4 linked regions of the Caenorhabditis elegans genome follow. The protein of the gene in region 1 interacts with the protein of each later gene in a pairwise test. Each region holds a gene or a part of one and is shown in the gene's direction. Other genes may lie near its edges. The genes, in order: unc-101, R03C1.1, zip-8 and tufm-2.

Region 1 (7,577 bases):
CTCAGGACAAGGACGGCCACGTTTTCCACGCCAGAAACCTCGATTTCGGACTCTTCATGGGATGGGACCCAGTTCTTCACGACTGGCAAATCTCGCAAAAGCTTCGTAAGATGATCATCAACGTCAACTGGCTCAAGGACGGAAAGCTGTTGTACAAGTCGAACAACTTTGCCGGATACATTGGAATCTACAACGGTCTCAAGCCAAACGCCTTCTCCTTGACTGCTGACGATCGATTCCAGCTTGTCGGAGGATACTACGGTATTCTCAAGTGGGTGTTCGGATTGGAGGCCGACGGAAAATGGATGTCCTGGTTGGCAAGAGAGACCCTCGAGACTAAGACCAGTGAGTTGAATTGTTTTCTTGATGACTTAGATCCTTAGAATTCGGAAGCTTTGATTTCCAGGAAGCTTAGGCTTAGATTCAAGTGTCCCTAATCTTTGCTTCTAATATCCATTGGGCTAGATCCGTCTGAGATCCATAAAGGCTCTATATCCCGAGCTTTCAGCCTACCTCGACGCCAAGGAGCACTTGATGAACACTCCAATGCTCTCACCAGTCTACTTCATTCTCGGAGGATCCAAGAAGGACGAGGGATGCATCATCGCTAGAAGTCTCGACAAGACCGCACTTCTCACCGAGATGGCCACATCCCCACACGGATGGTACCTGTTGGAGACCAACTACGATCAGGGAACCGAGGTGAGAGATGCTAGAGTTGAAGGTGTAGAGTAGGTTCTGGTAGACGGATCTAGGGGCCCAACTTTTAGGAGAGGTCCTTCTCTAGGCCTAGGTCTAGTATTTTGAACCCAGCTTCTTTTTTTGAGTGGGTCGAACTCCTAGCTAGAAATTTTGATCAAAAATCTGTCAAAACCTATCCGGAATTAACTTATCCAACATTTCCCTCTTCCAGGACCTCTACCTTGACGACCGTGACACTCCGGGATTCCGTTGCATGGACAAGTTGACCCAGAAGAACGTCGGATTCGAGGGAATCTTCAACGTCTTGTCATCCCGCACCAACCTGAATAAGCTCACCACCTACACCGTCCTCATGTCCGTCGAGACTTCTCGCTTCGAGACCATCCTTCAATCCTGCCCGGGAGAATGCTATCCATGGTAGATTGGATTCAACATTCTCATATACGCAATGATTCATTGAAATAAACTTTCATTTTTGTAAATAAACTTTGATGGGTTCTTGTTTGAAAACGAAATTTTCATAAAATTTAAAAATTTTAGAGTTTTTTGGTTTTTTTTAAACAAAAATTAAAAATTTTAATTTTCCCGCTGGAAAAAAATAATGAGTTACGGTAGATTTAAAGGCGCATGCACCGAAACTTATCGAGGTTACCAAAGTTATTGCTTTTTGTGGAATTTTACATTTAAAAAATAATTGTTTGCTAATTTTATGGTTTTTCGTCGTTTTTTCGTTTCTAACCAAGTTTTCCTCCTGAAATTCAAATTTCGTCACAATTTTATTAAAAATGGGATACGGTAGATTTAAAGGCGCATGCCTAAATATTTCTTCTGAGTCTCGTAGCGATTGGTGGTTTTGTGGAATTTTCTACTAGAAAAATGAATTTAAACTGATTTTCCAGTATTTTTACACAAATTTTTTTTATTTCAATTCAATTTTCAAATTATTCAATTCAATTTTCTGGCGGAAATTGCCAGTTTTTGTCATTATTGTCCAATAAAATAAGGTACGGTAGTTTTAAAGGCGCACACCTAAATTTTGCTCCCTTGGTTTCAGTTTTGAATTTTTAAAATAGAATTTTAACCGATTTTCGTCGATTTTCACTTAATTTTTTGCACTTTTCCGACGAAAAAGTCGATTTTTTGCAAAATTCGGTATTTTTCTCCATTTTTTCGCGAAAAAACCGCTATAAACCAAATTCTCCACCTTTTCCATCCAATTAATCCGTCTCCAAGGCCTCCTGCACCGCTGCTGCCGCTCCGTCACTCGCCGAGAGAGTATATAAAGTGAAGAGACTGCAGACTGCAAGAGGGCGTGCCCGCCAGCAGCCGATATCCATCTTTGCACTCATTTTCTTCGATTTTCCTCCGTTTTCCGCTAATTTTCTCCGGATTTTCAGTATTTTCCAGTAGCTGCCACGTGGAATTTGACGATTTTAACGAGAAAATCGCAAAAAATCGTCGAAAATGGCGACTTCCGCCATGTTTATACTGGATTTGAAGGGAAAAGTGAGTTTTTTAGTGTTTTTCACGTCGGAAAATGCCAATTTTCGCATTTTTCAGACGATAATTTCTCGAAATTATCGCGGAGACATCGACATGACGGCAATCGATAAATTCATTCATTTACTCATGGAAAAAGAGGAAGAAGGCTCGGCAGCGCCCGTTTTGACCTATCAGGACACGAATTTCGTGTTTATCAAGCACACAAATATTTATTGTGGGTTTTTTGTGTGAAAAATTGAATTTAAAATCAAAAATTAGATAGAAAAATGGCAAAATTGAAGAAAATCCGTTGAAAATGACGCAATTGGTCAGAAATTTGAATTTTCAAGCCAAAAACCGATAAAAAGTGCAATTTTTTGTGGTTTTTAACATTTTCAAATTGAAAATAACGTTTTAAAACTAAAAAATGAGTTGAAAAACAGTGAAAAGTAACAAAATCCCTTGAAAATAACGGAAAACCCAAAAAAATTCAATTTTTTGATTTTAAAGTCAGAAAAATTCAAAAATTCCTTGATTTTCTGAATTCCCGAGTGCTAAAATTCAAAAAAAGCCGAATATTCGTAAAAATTGACTAAAATCAATAAAACTGCGATTTTCGTAATTTTTCCATTTTGTAGTTTATTTGAAATGTGGTAAAAATCTTAAAAAAGGAGCAAAATTGTTTCAAAAATCAAGCTTTTCTGCCAGAAAGTCGATAAATTGCGAAAAATTCGTCATTTTTCACACTTTTTCGACATATTTTCACGATTTTTGAGCCAGAATTGTAAATTTCCGGAAATTTTCCCGCCGACAGCGGGTGCAAGCGCGCTCCAATGATAAAACACCCATTTTTAACGGATTTTCAGTCATTTTCTCCAGAATTTCCAGTCAAAAATTCAAATTTCCCTCATTTCAGTGGTCTCAGCATGCCGTTCAAACGTCAACGTCACAATGATTTTGTCATTTTTGTACAAATGCGTCGAAGTTTTCTCCGAATATTTCAAAGATGTCGAAGAGGAGTCGGTTCGCGACAATTTTGTCGTTATCTATGAACTTTTGGACGAAATGATGGATTTCGGGTTCCCACAGACGACTGAGAGTCGAATTCTACAAGAGTAAGGAGGAAAAACGAGAAAAATTGAAAAAAATTACTCAAAAATTCGAATTTCCCGCACGAAAAATCGTTTCATTTTCTGCTGCAAATGCGCTCCAATGCGAAAATAGCCAAATATTAGCGTTGGAGCGCATTTGCAGCGCGCGATAGCAGTAATTTTAAATTTTGGGTCAAAATATGTATTTTCGACCCTAAAATTTTGAATTTCCAATCACAAATGCGCTCTAATGCAAAAATCGCAAAAAATTTACATTGGAGCGCATTTGCAGTGGCGGGGAATTCAAAAATTCAAATTTTCCTGTTCAAAATGTGTCTTTTGTCTCGAAAATTTGAATTTCTATTTGCAAACGCGCTCCACTGCGATTATTTGCACTGTAGCGCGGTTGCAGCTGGGAAATTTGAATTTTCATTGAAAATTTCAATTTTCTCGCATTCAACATGCAGCAAACGCGCTTCAATGCAAAAATCGCAAAAGTTCACATTGGAGCGCAATTTTCCTGTTCAAAATGTGTTTTTCGACTCGAAAATTTGAATTTTTGTGCAAAATTATCATCGATTTTTCCTCAATTTTCAATCAAAAAACCCCCCAATTTTTTGCAGATACATCACACAAGAAGGTCAAAAACTAATTTCGGCACCCCGTCCCCCGATGGCAGTGACAAATGCCGTCTCATGGCGCTCTGAAGGCATAAAATACCGAAAAAACGAGGTTTTCCTGGACGTAATCGAAAGTGTGAACATGTTGGCCAGCGCCAACGGTACCGTACTTCAATCGGAAATTGTTGGAAGCGTTAAAATGCGTGTCTATCTTACCGGAATGCCTGAACTTCGGCTGGGTCTTAACGATAAAGTACTTTTTGAGGGCAGTGGACGTGAGTTTTTTCGAATTTTATGCGAAAATTGAGATTTTTCAGGCAATTTTACCCTAAAATCGATAAAATTTTGTTAAAATTCAACAATTTTAAAGTTTTTAGCGTTTTTCAATTGCGCTCCAATGCGACTTTTTTTAAATTTTTGCAATGGAGCGCGTTTGCAACTTGAAATTCAAACTTCCTACCGCTACAATCGCGCCCCATTGATAATTCTCGATTTTCAGGCGGAAAAAGCAAATCTGTGGAACTGGAAGACGTGAAATTTCATCAATGTGTACGCCTGTCGCGTTTTGACACGGATCGAACGATCTCCTTCATACCGCCCGACGGAGCATTTGAGCTTATGAGCTATCGGTACGAAAAAAGTGGAGAAAATCGGATTTTTAACCGAAAAATCGAGTTTTTCGCATGATTTTGACGGAAATTCAGTGATGTGGCCTAGTTTTTTCGAAAAGTTAGGCCACCGACTTCTAATCTGTGGCCGAAGTTTGATTTTGTCTATTTTTTGGCTTAAATACTCGATTTGAAAGCTGAAAATGCCAGAAAATCCTAGGAAATGCCAATTTACCCACGTGGCCTAGGTTTTTTGGAAGTTAGGCCACCATAGCCTAGTTCGTGGCCGAGTTGTAATTTCGAGTTAATTTCTGCTTTTTTATGCCAAAAACGCTCGAAAAACAATTATAAGGTGTAGAAAATACAAATTTGCTTACGTGGCCTAGGGTTTTCCGGAAAAAACTAGGCCACCAAAGGCCGATTCCTGTTTTTGGGTTCTTTTAGGTCAAAAAACTCGTTATTCAGACGAAGAAGAGCTCAGTAACATGAAAAATTCTAGAAAAATACAAATTTGCATACGTGGCCTAGATTTTACAAGAAAGTTAGGCCACCACTGGCCAATTCATGGCCGAACTCTATTTTTTGGCTAAAAACTCGGCTTCTTTACTACAATAGCTCGATTTTTCTGTAAAAACACGTTAAAACTGTAACAAATGGAACACGTAACATGCAAATTTCCACTCGTGGCCTAGTTTCTCGCAAAAGTTAGGCCACCACTGATCAGTTCGTTGCCGAACTCTATTTTTTGCTGAAAACTGTGTGTCTGGATCAAAATTGTTGGTTTTTCTTAAAAAATAAGTCAAATACACCTGCGGCCTAGGTTTTCGGGTAGAAAATTAGGCCACACCTTAATTTTGAGTCTAAAAAGTTGATCACTAGGCCAAATTTAGCTTGAAAACACTGAAAAATAAAAAAAAAGCAAATTTACATGCGTGGCCTAGGTTTTCAGGTAAAAAGTCAGGCCATGCCTCAATTTTGTGTCGAAAAACTCGATTTTTACCTCAAAAAGCTCCAATTTTTCCTGAAAATTCTCGAAAAATACCGTTTTTTTTCAGATTAACAACCGTGGTGAAGCCGCTGATCTGGATCGAGACAAGCATCGAACGTCACAGTCACAGCCGTGTCTCGTTTATAATCAAAGCGAAATCACAATTCAAACGGCGCTCCACTGCTAATAACGTGGAAATCATTATTCCAGTCCCGTCGGACGCTGATTCACCGAAATTCAAGACAAGCATCGGTTCGGTGAAGTATACGCCCGAGCAATCGGCCTTCGTATGGACTATTAAGAATTTTCCCGGCGGAAAAGAGTACCTTTTGACCGCCCATCTATCTCTACCGTCTGTGATGAGTGAAGAGTCTGAAGGACGGCCGCCGATTAAAGTCAAATTTGAAATTCCGTATTTTACGACCAGCGGCATTCAGGTAGCCGAATTTTTCGCTTAAAATTCGACTTTTTAGCTCAAAAATTCAAATTTCCCACCGCCAAAAACTGCCCAATTTTGAGATTTATGTAATTTTTTCGCTCTAAAATGCTGAAAATTTCATTTAAACACATGATATTATTTAAAAATCCGACTTTTCAACTAGATTATTTGAATTTCCCGCCGACCGCATGTTGCAAGCGCGCTCCACGGATAAAACTGCTCAAAATGCAGATTTTTGTGATTTTTTTGCGTCAAGATGATGCAAATTTCTCGAAAAAACCTAACATTTGACTTTTTAACTCAAAAATTCAAATTTCCCGCCTACCACATATTGCAAGTGCGCTCCACGGAGAAAACGGCTCAAAATTGAGAATTATGTGATTTTTTGGTGTTTAAGGGTGATAAAATCTTCTAAAAAAAAGGCTTGAAAATTCAATTTTTCCCATAAATTCCACCAAGTAAACCCTAATTTTCAAATTTTCAGGTCCGTTATCTGAAAATCATCGAGAAAAGTGGATATCAAGCATTGCCGTGGGTCCGCTACATTACTCAAAATGGAGAATACGAGATGCGGATGAAATAATTCCTGAAAAAATTACCTAAATTCATATTTTATTGTATTTTATTCCCAATTTTACTCTTAATTTTTGGAATTTTTTATGAAAAATTGGTGAAAAACGACCGTGGCCGAGTTTTTGGAAAATTTGGAGGTCTAGGCCACCATGCTTCCAGTGGTGGCCTAACTTTTCGAAAATCCTAGGCCACGGCCCCGTTTTCCATCAATTTTTGCCTCTTTTAATGTCAAACATCTCCAATTTTTTCTGTGAAAATTTAATGCTCCGCGAGCTGCTCCCCGGCTCAAAACATGTGTTGTGTGTGCTCTTTCCCCTGATGACCCCGAACTCTATTTTTTTTTGTTCGAAAATTTTTATTTTATTTTTCCCACCGATTTATTTATTGATTTTTATCGCATAATTTAGATTTTTTCCAGAAAAACGAGTTTTTTCCCTTTCCCACCAGCATAATTTTCTCACCACATGGATCCTCATCAATTTTTCCCGTTTTCCTTTTTTCAGTAAATCAATAAATTTTCTGTCATAATTGTTTACAAAATGTTTTCCGGGGGCTAAAAATTCCATTTCAAAAATTGTCTAAATTTCCAGAAAAATCACTGAAAAAAATGCAAAAAATTGCCAGAAAATGCGCCGATTGTTGCCGATTTTTCGTCGAAATTTGCGAATTTCTGCATTTTCGCGTCAATGCACCACATCTGACGACACTTTGCGGACTTTTGCGCCAAATGCGTTGATGGATCGAATTGTGGACGATTTGAAGGTTCGGCAAAGCGGGAATTTGAAAATTTTGAAGATTTAGCATTGGGGCACACTTGCATCACGCTTTTATGGCGCGAAATTTGAATTTTTGCCCTAATTTTGGACTTTTTTTTGCATTGGAGCGCATTTGCATTAGCGGGAAATTCAAATTTCCAACTCTAATTCAATTTTTTCCAGAAAACTGGCACACATTTTGTGATTCCCGGTCGAGATTCCTTTGCCAGACAGGAATCGGCAAAAGTTTTCGAAAAACTTTTGGAAAATGGTAGGTTTTGCTAATTTTTTTTAGTGAAAAATTTGAAAAAACGAAAAA
Region 2 (5,222 bases), on another chromosome or scaffold:
AAATTAAAAATATCCAGACCACCGTCGTTTTAGTTTTTTTCAGGATCAGCGTTGGGTACAAAGATATCAGTCCGGCAGATCGGCAAATTGCCAGAATTGAAATTTCCGGCAGATCGGCAAATCGGCAAATTATCGGAATTGAAAATTTCCGGCAAATCGGCAAACCGGCAAAATGGCGATTTGCCGAATTCACCGGAAATTTTCGGCAAAAAGGATTTTGCACATTTTTTTGGAAGTTTTGAAGAGTTTCCGTCTCTAAAAAATCCCTCTCAATATCCGGCAAACGGCAAATTGCCGGAATTGAAGATTTCCAGCAAATCGGCAAACCGGCAATTTTTCGATTTGGCGAAATTTGCCGAACTGCAATTGCCGCTCACCCCTATTATGTCTTATCTGGAGTCAAAGTTTCATGGGTTCCTCGTTGGCATGCTCTCTAATTACTGAGTTGAAGTTATTTTATAAACATTTTTGTCATAACAGACGCCTGTGAGGTATCTTAAATATACCAGTAGTATTCCTACAGTGTTCAAAAAATGTTTGCTATATAGAAACTAGTTAACCTCAACATTTTGATTTCTAAGTTACTTATTGAACCTGTAATTCAAAACTTCAAATATTGAATTAACAACTAGATCCTAGATCCCCATCAACTTTGACATGAAGATATCATGTCTAGACTTGATGACCTCACAGAAGATCCCTGTGCCCAAGCACAAAACTCACTTTTCCCTCGAACTTTTTCTTCCCCCTATGCATGCATCCTCATTCAAATATGACTGCTCTATACAATACAAAAGCTTGTTGGCAAAAAGGCGGAGCCACCAGTATTAGGTTGTTGGCACCATAGTAATTCGATACAGAAAACGATGCGGAATGAAAAACGCTTACCGCGCGCTGCTCGGCGGCTTGTTTACAGTTGAATGAAGAGAAAAGATGAATACAATACAATTGGAGGCGGCAAAATGCTCCACACGTGGGAAGTAGCGAGCGAGCGCGCGCAAAAAGTTGCCATCCATCCCTGGACACGCCTTTTGGGATTCAGGGGGTGGCTATAAAATGGATCCAGATTCATGGAATCACTCATCATTCACACTCTCTTTTCATTCATCGGTTACCGGAAAGTGTCTAACTACAATTTTTTTAGATTTTCAAATACTTACATAGTTTCAAAAATAAACTCATATTTTAAGTTTGTAGCACTAGGTTCAAAGAATTACTTTATGTAGTAAAAATAATTACTACATACTTCTACTTCCAATTAATATATACTTTTAGAATATACTATACCTATATTTTTATAACTATATGGTTTTGACAACTAACGTTTTATACATCAAAAAGAGTTTGTAACATATAACAATTGTAGTTTCAAATTTATTGCTGTTAGATATATGTAACACTATCAAACGAACATACCTTAAATTAATAACATGTTATAAAAATTTTGGCAGTAGCTTTCAGTTTAACCTACCAAAGGTGTAAATATTTATAAATAGCTATTTTAAAATGATACATAGTACTTATTAAACTAATATCATACCTTAAGAGTAGCATATAAGTTTCATTTTAGTGTTACAGTTTGACTGTGGGTTTGAATAAATGTTATACTGCAATTAGCACATAATATTCCAAAATTCACTAGGGTCCTCCAGATTGCTGAGACCAACAATAATGCAATAACTCACTAATTCTATGCTACTTACACATTATTACCTGCTCAAACTGAATTCCAAGACACGGTCTTCCCGGACCGGGGAATCCCGGTCCTTTCAATGTTTTTTATACATTCCCCTACTCCACCCCCCACAATAATTTAATTTCCAGAACCATGTCCCGTCTGTCGTCCCTGTTGATTCTTGTGTGCATCGGAGCCCTTCTGGTCGAGGTGAGTGTCTAAAACTTGATTCCCCCCGCTTATTTTCCAACTTGTGAATTGAATAGTTCCTACTCTATTGACTCAACTTGGGCACTTTGCGCAAAATGAGTCAGACTAGTTGGGCACAATAGGTCTCTTGTTCTAATTGGCATTCACGGAAAATGGCTATATAGTTTTTGAATGGCGCAAAGTTTGAGGAGTTGAACTAACAAGAATCTTTCAGACATTTGCTGCTCCAGACGAGCCAATCATCGTCCGCTCGAAGCGTCAGCAATGCCGGTGCGTCAAGAATCCTAATGGTGGACTCACGTGCAGTTGTGCAAAGGGACCAGCTGTAAGTTTTGGTTTTTTAGAGACTATTGTGCTACTTTTAACTATAGTATAATTATTTTAATATCGATATAGTACTACTAATTCATACATGCAACGGTACTGTCGATGAAGTTTTTTCTAGGACTACTGTAGTATGGTTAAGCCGATTTTCTAGCATCCTGTCGACCTCCAACGGTAGTGTGCACTACTGATGAAGCGCCATAACATTTAAAGAATTTATCATCCTAGTTTTTAAGACTACTTTAGCTAATGTGAGAACTAGGTGAACTATTAGAAAGATTACTGTAGCACCACTGTAGATTCGAGATAACATTTACTAACAAGTTATCATTTCTAGGATGGCTCCTCTTCTTCCATCGGATCCGGTGTCCAATATGATGCTCCCCAGTCGGCTGACATTGCAAATCAGCTCACCGCAATGTCCCAACAAACTACCGGAATGAGCGGAGCCCGTTGTGGATGCATCCAGATTGTCATCCAAGGAGCCCCACAATACAACTGCCAGTGCGGAGATCAGAGTGGAAACCCGGTTAGTTTTTGGGATGGTGTAGGGGGATTCTAATCATTTTTTGAATATCTAAAACTCTGAAATCTAAGCTCCCAACCACCACCACAATGGCTCCAACCACAAGCTCCACCACCACCACTACCACCACAACCACCCAAGCCCCAACCACAACTTCCACTACAACTACACAATCGCCAGTCTCCTACCCGCAAGTGCCAACTCAGACACAGGTATATCCCAGCAGCACCCCCCAGATGTATTAGAATTTAGAATCGTTTAGGGAAGTAATGGGGCTTGCAACTGCATTATGATCAGTATCACCAGCCCACAAACTGCTCAGTATCAGTGCCAGTGTGCTCAACCACAGCAGCAACAGCAGCAACAGGTAAATTTTTTGAATTGGAAATTTGAAATTATTTGAAAAGTGCATGAACTTTCTTCGCATGAAATTTTTCTGTTCACAGATTAAAAACGTGATAACTCTGCAGCCATGAGAGCTAGCAAATAAATAAAATGAGCTGTATTTTGCCAGTTGGCAACTTTTTTGTATCTATCAAAATTAGAGAGTTATGTACAAGCAGCCGAGCCTTTTGTCTATTGGTTGCTCTTCACAACTGATAGTTTGGCATCTTAGAGAATCTAGGCCACCAAAAGTTAGACCATCTCAAGAAAGCTAGGTTACTAAAAGTTAGGCCACAATTTTTGGAAAACTAGTTCAGCAAAGTTAGGGTATCATTTTAGAAAAACTAGGCCAGCCAGTGTAGAAGCAAAGGCTTCCAAAAATAAGACCAAGTTCTTAAGAAAACAAGGCCACCAAAAGTTAGGCCACCAATAAAAACCGCATGTGTGCCCACACAACTTGCATGTCTAAAACTTCCACACAGCACACCATCGACTACGAGGACCCAACCATCGAGTACGGTGCCCAGACAGCGATCCCCGGAACTCTGCCAGCACCATCCTCCACAACCACCACAACCACCTCAACAACTACAACTCCAGCACCACTGACGCAAGCGCCCCAACTCCTGAACCCGTCCATGTACACCGCGCAGCCACCTACCGTATACCCGGCCATCGGACAGTTGGCCACCGGACAAGAGACGTGCTATTGTCTTGATCCGACCACCAGTGTCATGTCCGGGTGTGGATGCAGGTGTAACTGTGCCACGTTGATGGTTACTGTACCAAATGCGTACTGTGGGTGCCCACAGCCAGGACAACAACAGCAACAGGTAGAGAGCATGAGGGCATGATAGCATGGAAACTTGAATTTTCATTTCAAAGCAAGCAGCCGACAATTCACGGGGTTTGGTGGAACCCGCAATTTGTCGGCTGCTCGGCGCCACCGACTATTTTGCAAATTGACCATTTTCAGGTTCAATACGACACCTACGAGTACGCTCCAGTTCAGACCACCCCGACACCAATGGTAATAACCCTTCAATTTTTCGAATTTACCCTTACAATTTTCAGCCAACCACTCAAGTCCCAACTACCCAGGCTCCAACCACCCAGGCCCCAACCATGCCAACTTCCTCAAGCCCGGTTCAATATGCCGACACCGCGGCCACCCAATACCCGCTGACAACCACATGTGTGATGTACGTGAACGTGCCTACCACCGCCTGCTCGTGCCTTCCACAATACGACCAGTGTGCTCAGAATGTGTGCTGCTTGAAGTCCAAATTCAGAAGTTACAAGGTAGGTGGGGGAGTTCCTAGGGGATCTAGGCACTGACGTAGTTTCTAGACCATGGTGCCACAAGGGATTTCTAGGCCACATAGGCATTTTCTAGGCCAATTTTATAAATTTCAAACATTTTCAATTTTCCAGAAAGCCGAAGAAACCCAACCATCGACCCTCGACGTGCTCATGAACGTTCTCCAGACGATCAAAACGAAACTCGAATAGATAATTAATTAATTTTTCGTGTTCCCCACAATATTTGGTATCTGTAAATATGCCTCAACGATTACTTAATCTAATAAATTTATGTCATTAGAATCCAATTTGAAGAGAAAAAAACGTACAATTAAATGGGAAATTTTTTGTATTTGGGCATGGTTTAACGGTAAAAGGGAGTTTGGTTTTTGTATAAGTGACGATGATTTGGAAAAAAAAAGAAAAAAAAATGGCTATAACTATGGGAAAACATGCAAAAAAATTAAGAAAAAAATTATACAAAAGTACGAGAAAAGACGAGAGATCATGGCATCTGTGTGGGGTGTTGGTATTCAGGTAATCAGGTGTAAAGACGGAAGAAGGTCATGATTTTGGATTTTCTTAAAGGGCTTCAGGAAAAAATTGCAAACAAATTGGGGGAATAATACACTCGGTTGAAGGGAGGGGGAGAGGTAGAACGCTTAAAAGCTAAATTCCAGCGCTGAGAAATGGGCTCAGTGAGCAAGGAGACTTGTCGCCGCTGGCACCACGTTTGACCAGTGCATTGTCGGCCGCTTCCTTCTTGCGCCATTTTGTACGACGGTTTTGGAACCACACCTG
Region 3 (4,623 bases), on another chromosome or scaffold:
TCAAACTGAAATTGTTTTTTTTTCAATTTAATATGTTTCTATATTTTGAAACTAAATGCTAATAAAGTTAATCAAATATTACAGGAACACTCAATCCACGAAAAAACTTCCGCAATTTTCAACATACTTGATATTTCACCTTATTCTATGTTTATCCATGCAACACCTATTGCATTGTTATTTTCCTTATAACAAATTGATACGCACTGCGCAACATGACCAGATTAGTCGAGGTTATAGTATCACGCAATACTTACCAATTTTATTTGTTGGCTTTCACGGAATATGGGGGAAATGTGGGAAAGGCTGGTGAATTGATAGATGGATAATAACGGATATATAAGAAAATTACATAGTGGCAAAAAGTAAGCGACATTTGGCGTTGTCAAATCAAAACTCGAAAGACAAGAAAACATTTCTGAAACGCCAAATATAGAGTAGTGAATACAATTCAATACTTTACCTTCAAAATGATAAAATTCAGACAACAGTCAAAGTTTCCAAGTAAAAAACACACAGTCAATCCAAAAACAGAAAGGAGGAGAAACATTTGTCGTCTACAAATACAGACTGTCTACCAAAAGTAGACATCGATGGTTATAGAACAACCTTCCCAAAAATTAAGGTTTGTGCACTCACAATTATATTGATTGGGCAGGATGGGGAATCGAACCTGAATTGAACTACAGGTGTTTTTTGACATTTTAGGAAGGTGAGACGAAAAAGGTGACCACATGGAATTAAACTGTCAGAAGAACAAATTGTGTTTGTTCATTGTAAGTTAACAGATGAAGAGCTTTGAAAACTGCATAAAAATGTGAGCTTTGAAACATTTGAAATTAAAATTAGAAAACGTTATGATAAATGTATTTTAAAAAGGAGAGAAGAATTGATCAAAGATTCCCTGCAAACTCGAATTTAATTTATTGGAACTCAAAATGTTACTCAATGAATACTAAAGACTCTTATTGTAATCAATTCTTATATTCGTAAAACTTATTCTGTAATATTTGTACAAAAACTAATATTTAAAAGTTTTTACACAAAATAGATATTTAAAAGTTGAAAAAAAAATCAGAAAAGATGGATTAATATCTAGCAACTATTTTTAAAGTCATGGTTCATCTTCTTAAAATCTGAAAATTTCAGACTACTTTCCAGGGAATTTTGTTCGCGCCACTCATTTTACCAAAATGTTTCCTTTGGGAATACTAATCTATAAAACATTTCTCACTTAAACTGTCATTAACTAGATTTCCAAAGAAACATTGGTAATTGACAGACTTGGAAAAACATTACGCAATCGATATGCAACGTTTTCCACGTAATTCTATGACTGTTTTTAATATCTAAAACACCATTAATCCCACTAAGTTTAGATGATATTTGTACAAAAGTTGACGCAAATCTATCTGAGAACTTCCAACCCTTTCAGTCTCTTTTCCCTCACTTCTCTCTATGCAAGAAACATCAACGGTCCATTGTTTTCCGTGTAGTAGGTCATATGTTCTCCTGCTCTCCCGTTCCAGATAGACCCGATAGATACTGTGAGAGTTCCCAGCGGGTGTTCTCTGCGCTCTCCAGAACTCCTATGCACTCTCCCAAAACTTCTCGGGTGGGCGGAGTCGAGGCCACCCCGCCAGCACCCGACGTTGCATCACACCTGACTCTTTTCTAGATCGGCGACGGTCGGTTACGTAACCAGCTCTCTGGGAAGTGTTTTCACCTTTTCCTTGTTTTTCTTTTTCGTTGCATGGCTTTCTGAATTTCTTTTGGGAAGAAGATAGTACTCAAACTTTCTATAATTTCAGCTAACAACGTCCAACAATATGAGCAACACCATGCAAGGAGCACACTACCCGCAAATGGCATTCGATCCAACATGGCAAATGCATCCAGCGTACGCAACTGCAACTGCTTTGTGAGTCTAAATATGTATATATTTAGAATTTTTGAGATTATTGTAGTTGTTTTCGGTTTTTTAAATTTTGTGTCAAGTATTTTCTTCTGCAAAACAAAAGACAGTAGAGACCATCTCGCACTGCCACATCGTCCGTTGTCCCCGTCATGTGCTCATGGCGAGATGGCCTAGATTACAGCCGTTCTGGATTGGTCGGTTTGGCTATAGAGGTCAACATGTTGTAAAACGTTTGGAAAATGTTCAAAGTTTGGCCATTCAAAATATACGGAAAATGTGAACAATATACTACTCACATTATAGCTAGTGTAAAAACTTTTGTAGCATAGTTTTTTCTACAGTCTTTCGTTTCAGTTATCAAAATTCAGTACATGACTCTACAATTTTCTACTATACCTTTTTTTTTCTGTAATTTGAAAAACACTCTAGCTGCAAGAGCTCAAAATTGGAATAGATGCCGTTACATCACCAAATTACTATAGAGGATCTTAGCCAGTAGATAGAGTAAAAGACGCACATTCGACTGAGCTATTAAATTGCCACGTGGCAAGGGGCAACTGCCACGACAGACTGTCTTCAAGGTGTTCCATGAGCCGACACAGACAGATGGTCAATATGCGCTAAATATGACATTTTTGCACATAATTATAGGTATTGGGGTAGGCAACCGGTTGTGGAGTGCCTGATATCTGATGCTAGATTTTAAATTTAGATTTCAGTATGATCTTCCCTCTAATAATAGAAACTATCTTTGTTTATACGTGTGCAACCACGATAGTTTAGGTGAAGATGCCACAGGGTTTTTGAATAGTTTAATTTGCAAGCAAAGTGTTGATAAACAATTTAATATTTATTTTACACTGCGAAATTGGTTGGTGGTATCATCCAAAAATGATGTTTTTTCGATACAAATCATATTGTGATTTTAAAAAATGTGGAAGATTTCTGAATTGTTTAGAAATGCTTTCCTTAATGGTAATCAGAACGTCAGATTTAAAACAATTCAGAAATCTTCCTTTTTTTAACTCAGGAAATTGATATGTATTGACAAAAAACCACCCTGATACCAGAACCACCATAAATATCCCCAGATAACCGATAGTGCTCCTCTTTTGTAGAAATTTGTAAAATATTTTGTAGAATAAATGTGGAAATTTCAATTTTCAGTAATCCATACAATGTATCATTCGACTTCACACGCTCTCCAAATACCTCCGGCGGATCCGATGAATCAATGAGTGATGGCAGCAAGATCGACCCAAAACGATCTCCAAAGTAAGTTTTACCTCGGAATTCAGATGGGGAGGGTGCCTTGAAGAAAGGTTACTCATAGGAACATTGGGATGAGAATGGGAGGATGGGGGAGGGGGTGTTACATTATTTTCAGATTCTTCAACAACAACATTGCAAAGACACGTGCCAATCGACTCTCCAGACGATCCACGATCCGCCAAGGATTACTTTTAGAGTTTCAAAAAACTTGATATTTTTTCTTCAGATATCTTGAAAAGCGTATGAAGAATAATGAGGCTGCAAAGAAGTCACGAGCCTCCAGAAAACATCGAGAGCAGAAGAATCAGACAGAGAATGAGTTACTCAAAAGGAAAAACGCAGCATTAGAGGAAGAACTGAAGCAAGCAAAATGTGAATTGGCTCAGATGCAAATCACGATCCGAGATATGTCTATCGTAAGAGAAATAAAGCTCACTATGCACCTCAAAAGCTAATAATTTTTCAGGAACGAGAAGCATACCGCCGAGAGAACGAAATGCTGAAAATGGTGAACAACAAATTTGCGGACTCAAAATTCGAACCTCCGCAACCACTTCGTGATATGACCAACTGCAACCTGCCATACAAATACGAACTTCTCTCTTAAATTTATTTCATTCCCTCTATTGAGAAATTTCATGTATATTTTTGTGTCCCAATTCCCAGTTAAGTAGGTATCGGTTTTATGGTCTTCTGAGAGTTGTGGCTATTCTTATTTTTGTTTTTTGAAATTCTTGACATATAAATCTAGGATAACACCAGGAAAATGATGAGAAGGTCTCAATGGAGAACACCTTCTGATTCCTGAATGGGGATTTTTAGATAAGTTTACATAATAATAAGGAATATTCTTAACCTTACTGTCTAATACTGCATGTCTAATAAATTGCATATAAGTACAAAAGTCTACAGTTGTTTTGATTTTATTACAAGTGGGCATGTGGAAAGAGTGAGGGCCTCGAGGACATGGGAATGTTTTGGTAACCTTGATTTCACTGGAACAATTAAAAGGGGAAAGTTAAGGCTGCTAATTCACGCCCTGGTACCATGGTTCAGACAAAAATTTAAAATGTTTAAATCATATCTGCAGATTTTTCTCAAAATTATAAAACCCGATACTCAAACTGTTCTATTGATGATATTAGAGGTTACAATCGAAAATTTAGGATACGTTTAGCTATTTCTCAAAACTCTGAACCGCCAGAAATAGAAAAAAGCTTTTTCTAAAGCGTTCATGAAAAACCTTTTATCGTACTTCCACATTTCTTCAAATATTCACTAAACTTTTTCAGGTAAAATTTTATTTAAAATTGGCCAGTGCCTGAAAAAAGGAAGTTTTGACAATCTTCTGGGTAGTCACAACATTGCAAAAAACATTTGTCCGACATTTGTTTAATCTGAAAAGTCGGTTGAAATTTCTAATATTTTATTTT
Region 4 (4,018 bases), 8.3 Mb from region 1:
GTAGACTAAGAAGTGCAGAGCACATGGCATGACACGCATCCAAATCAATTAGGACATCTACTTTTTCGGATCGCTGGACGGGCTTGCGGACTGCTGTGGATCTAAAAAAAATGTTTTTTTGAATTTTTGAGAAATTGAAAATATTTGGTTTTCGATTTATCGAGAAATAGCTGGAATTTTTGTTAATTTTCTAATAACTTTTATTTCGATTTTTCAGTTTTTCAGACCAGGGCTGAGACATTGTTTTTGAATTTTTAAGAAAAATTTATTTTTTTTTTGGTTATTAAGACTAAAAATTCAAAAAAAAATTTCATTCTTTCTTGGTTTTTTTTTTAACAGGCATCAATTTTTTTTGGCTTTTTTTTTTGGTTTTTCGCAAATTTCAATTTTTTTATTTTGGTCAAAAACACTTTTTTTTCCAACAGCCGTGTTCTTTATCGAGATGTGAAAATTTGCGTCAAAAATACCGGCCTCAACACGACAAATTGTGAAAAATTATGCGCCTTGGAGGATTACTGTAATTTCAAACTCTAGTTCCGAAAATGTTCATCGATTTTGTTATCGTTTGTATCAGTCCGATCTGTCGAAATTTAAGTTTTTTAATTTTTTAAAAGCTTTTCTGAAGCTTTTTTCAATTAAAAAAGTACTTTTTTTTAATCGAAAACTATGAAAGTTTGAAATTACATTCATTTTTAAAGGTACACATCTTTTTTGTTTTTTATCAGAAATGTGTCGAGACCGGGTACTGTATGACTGGCGCACACAAAAACACTCAATCTTACAATTTACTTCTGGAAGCAAGTTGCGATGATTTCTGTGCTTCTGCGATGCTCTTGATATTCTTCAAAATTTGTGCTCCACGAATTTCAGAGTAATAACCCAGAAAATTATTAGGAACACGTGGCTGCTTCAGGAGCCAAACTCCAATTTTGATTATCGGTTCTTCATCGGTCATAATTTTGATTTCACTCAATCTGGGTGTCAATTCATTTTTTACAAAAGGTGCCGGATCCACGGTAATACTATTCTTCAGAAGAAAATTCTTGTAAGCTTTTTCAAGCATTGTATATCCAGTGTCCAGTGTGATTCTCATATTATCCGTTTGACTTCGATAATTTGGATGGGTTTCGAAAAATATGATTGCTTGCTGCAGACTTTCCATATTTTCGAGATAAGGGTCGAGATCGACGGACGGATTTCCACTATTTATTGCATTCTCAACAGTGCTAGTTTTTCCGTAAAATTGAAGAGTAGCGTCAATTGTATTGATGAGACGTTGGATATCTGGAAAATATCTTCTTTTTTTTAAAAGAAAACTGCCAAATTGACATACTATGCTGTTTCTTTTGCAATTTCCCGTTCGAAATATGCATCGGGAGCACATTCTTTTCAAGAGAGCTCAATCTCTGATCAAACTTTTCAACAACTTGTTCGATTCCTTGTCGTATCTGCGCGCTTTTCGCGATGTTCTTTTGAAAATTCTGTAGCCATTCTTCCTCCTGAAATGATTTAAATGATCAATCTTCTTTTTCAGCAAAAACAAACCTGAGCTAGTTTTTTGGCTATCGATTCGGCAGCATTTTGATCACTTGCCATTGGAAATATTCGAGAATTGACAGAGAAAAATGGAAAACAATAAAAATAATAAACAACCAACATGTGACCTAGTTACTTCCTAGGCCACGCGGCCGCGTACTCCTCGAGGACAAAATGAGTTGCCACGCAATTTTTGGAATTTTTTAAATTAAATTCAGGTTCCAGGTTTCTATGGTTTCAAAGTTACTAAAATTGTTATAACCGATTTTATTATAACATGAATTTCTCGGTGTTATAGGTAAAATGAACCCCGCTGCTTTGTCGGCATTCACACGATCTCTACTATTCAATCGATGCTCAACATCTTCATTTTGTAATTCAATCACACGAAATGCCGTCGCTTTCTTTGCCACTGCAGCTGCTACGCCAAAAATCAATGTAAATGTGGGAACTATTGGACACATCGATCACGGGAAAACAACTCTAACATCAGCAATCACAAGAGTTCAGGCTAAAAAAGGTTTAATTAATTTTTATATTATTCACAAATGAATTCAATTCTGCAGGTTTTGCGAAGCATATTAAATTTGACGAAATCGATAAGGGAAAAGAAGAAAAGAAACGTGGAATTACAATCAATGTCGCTCATATCGGCTATGAAAGTCCTCTGCGTCGATATTCCCACACTGATTGCCCCGGTCACTCGGATTTCATCAAAAATATGATTTGCGGAACTTCACAAATGGACGTGGCTGTTCTTGTGATTGCTGCAACCGACGGAGTCATGGAGCAAACCAAAGAACATTTGATTCTAGCCAAGCAAGTTGGTGTTAAAAATATGGCGATTTTCATCAATAAAGCGGATTTGGTTGAAGAAGATGATCTGGATTTGGTAGAAATGGAAGCACGGGAATTGTTGAGTCTGCATGGCTTTAATGGAGATGCGACTCCAGTTATTCGAGGTTCCGCTTTAAGTGCTCTAGAAGGACAAGATATTTCGTGTATCGAGAGATTGATTGATGCATTGGATTCACTTCCAGAGCCGGATAGAAATGAAAAGGATACTTTTGTAATGCCAATTGCATCGAAAACTGCTATCACTGGGCGAGGTAATTGAAAAAAGAAATATAAGGTGTGCCAATCAAGAATTTATTTTGCAAGAAAAAGTGCAAGAAATTTCAATAAATGACATTTTTTGCCACCCCTAATATTTAAAAAAAAACCAATTTAAAATGTTTTTCAGGAACAGTCATCGTCGGTACACTGGAAAGAGGTGTCTTGAAAAAAGGCGATAAAGTTGAAATCAAAGGAGACGGGCAAACTCTTCAAACGACTGCTTCGGATATCCAAGTTTTTGGCAAAAGTGTGAAGGAAGTTCGTGCTGGAGATCATTGTGGAGTTCTGTGTAGAGGAGTTAAAGGGGATACAGTGAAGAGAGGAATGTGGGCAGGACATCCAGGAGCAGTAACAATTACGAATCGAGTGAAAGTGGAACTTTATCTTCTCTCGGAGGCTGAAAATGGCAGGAAGATCGGAATTCGGACTGGTTTCACAGACAAAATGTACTGCAGTACTTGGGATCAAGTTGGTCGTTTCGATATGAGCAATGAGCTTCTGATGCCAGGAGAACATACTTCTGCTACAGTACTCTTGATGAAAGACATGCCACTCAGAAAAGGAATGCCGTTTACATTGAGAGAAGGAAGCAGTAAAACAACGATCGCTAGAGGAATCATCTCAGATCTAGAGGATCATGTGGCTGTAGAGAAACATAATCTTAAAAAGTCCGCTGAAAAGATGTAGTTCTTTATATATTACAGTATTGATTTATTTTAGGTTAGATTTTATTAGCTTGTTAACTACTATATCTTGTTTTGTTTTTGTTTTCTTTTGTCGAAATCTTCGAATAATATTTCACTACTTTTATTGTTCAAATAATACCATTCTCCTATTAATAGCAGTTTTACCTGATCTGCTCATTAATATCTTTATTTTTAATTTTCGTATTAAATAATAATTTATTTTTTAATTCCAGTTTAAAATGTCGGGGAGAGTCGACGAACAGCTCGACGACTTCCTCTGGGGAAAAACTGATGTTAAGGATTACTTGAAAAAGTAAGTCGCCAAATTTTGTGGATTTGGGTCTCGACACGACAATTTTTGTTTAATGAAAAATGGTACGCGCCTTTAAAGAGTACTGTAGCGTCGATTCTTCATAGTTTTTTGCAAAAAGTATATTCATTTATTTATTTTTTAAAAACTAAAATAGAACAACATAAACTTTAACAAATCGTAAGAAAAACTATGAAAAATCGATAAAAACTTCGCAGCATCGAAAGTTTTAAATTACAGTATTCTTTAAAGGCGCACACTTTGTCGAAAGATGGAGTACCGCCAGTAGAGAAATTTTTAAAAAACATAACTGTAGTGTTACATTATATTAATAAAAAATCAAATCAAAAATGTTTGCAAAAGTTGTTAT

What was found.
Region 2: the proteins of unc-101 (region 1) and R03C1.1 interact in a two-hybrid assay, tested with the Caenorhabditis elegans proteins (3 studies listed by BioGRID).
Region 3: the proteins of unc-101 (region 1) and zip-8 interact in a two-hybrid assay, tested with the Caenorhabditis elegans proteins (3 studies listed by BioGRID).
Region 4: the proteins of unc-101 (region 1) and tufm-2 interact in a two-hybrid assay, tested with the Caenorhabditis elegans proteins (3 studies listed by BioGRID).

What each region holds. Positions count from the first base shown.
Region 1 is NC_003279.8:12,506,389-12,513,965, forward strand, and holds unc-101 (AP-1 complex subunit mu-1-I), read left to right. Parts: upstream 1-1,910; 5' UTR 1,911-2,166; coding exon 2,167-2,208; intron 2,209-2,262; coding exon 2,263-2,419; intron 2,420-3,100; coding exon 3,101-3,299; intron 3,300-3,898; coding exon 3,899-4,170; intron 4,171-4,394; coding exon 4,395-4,524; intron 4,525-5,558; coding exon 5,559-5,928; intron 5,929-6,414; coding exon 6,415-6,513; 3' UTR 6,514-7,032; downstream 7,033-7,577. Other genes in the region: asah-1 (Acid ceramidase subunit beta), read left to right, coding at 1-345, 509-702, 914-1,123; mter-4 (Mitochondrial transcription termination factor family protein), read left to right, coding at 7,131-7,265, 7,442-7,529. UniProt on the Caenorhabditis elegans protein: Component of the adaptor complexes which link clathrin to receptors in coated vesicles. Clathrin-associated protein complexes are believed to interact with the cytoplasmic tails of membrane proteins, leading to their selection and concentration.
Region 2 is NC_003280.10:14,907,008-14,912,229, reverse strand, and holds R03C1.1 (Cell wall protein DAN4), read left to right. Parts: upstream 1-1,824; 5' UTR 1,825-1,828; coding exon 1,829-1,885; intron 1,886-2,099; coding exon 2,100-2,210; intron 2,211-2,546; coding exon 2,547-2,738; intron 2,739-2,806; coding exon 2,807-2,947; intron 2,948-2,997; coding exon 2,998-3,102; intron 3,103-3,601; coding exon 3,602-3,952; intron 3,953-4,095; coding exon 4,096-4,149; intron 4,150-4,193; coding exon 4,194-4,421; intron 4,422-4,553; coding exon 4,554-4,631; 3' UTR 4,632-4,722; downstream 4,723-5,222. Other genes in the region: cog-1 (Homeobox domain-containing protein), read right to left, coding at 5,091-5,219.
Region 3 is NC_003281.10:6,477,150-6,481,772, forward strand, and holds zip-8 (bZIP transcription factor 8), read left to right. Parts: upstream 1-1,811; 5' UTR 1,812-1,829; coding exon 1,830-1,921; intron 1,922-3,085; coding exon 3,086-3,193; coding exon of another isoform or gene 3,194-3,197; exon of another isoform or gene 3,198-3,416; coding exon 3,417-3,606; intron 3,607-3,656; coding exon 3,657-3,797; 3' UTR 3,798-4,094; downstream 4,095-4,623.
Region 4 is NC_003279.8:4,245,922-4,249,939, forward strand, and holds tufm-2 (protein-synthesizing GTPase), read left to right. Parts: upstream 1-1,831; 5' UTR 1,832-1,839; coding exon 1,840-2,056; intron 2,057-2,102; coding exon 2,103-2,645; intron 2,646-2,779; coding exon 2,780-3,339; 3' UTR 3,340-3,494; downstream 3,495-4,018. Other genes in the region: exoc-7 (Exocyst complex component 7), read right to left, coding at 1-101, 783-1,284, 1,334-1,499, 1,546-1,659; cogc-5 (Conserved oligomeric Golgi complex subunit 5), read left to right, coding at 3,578-3,651.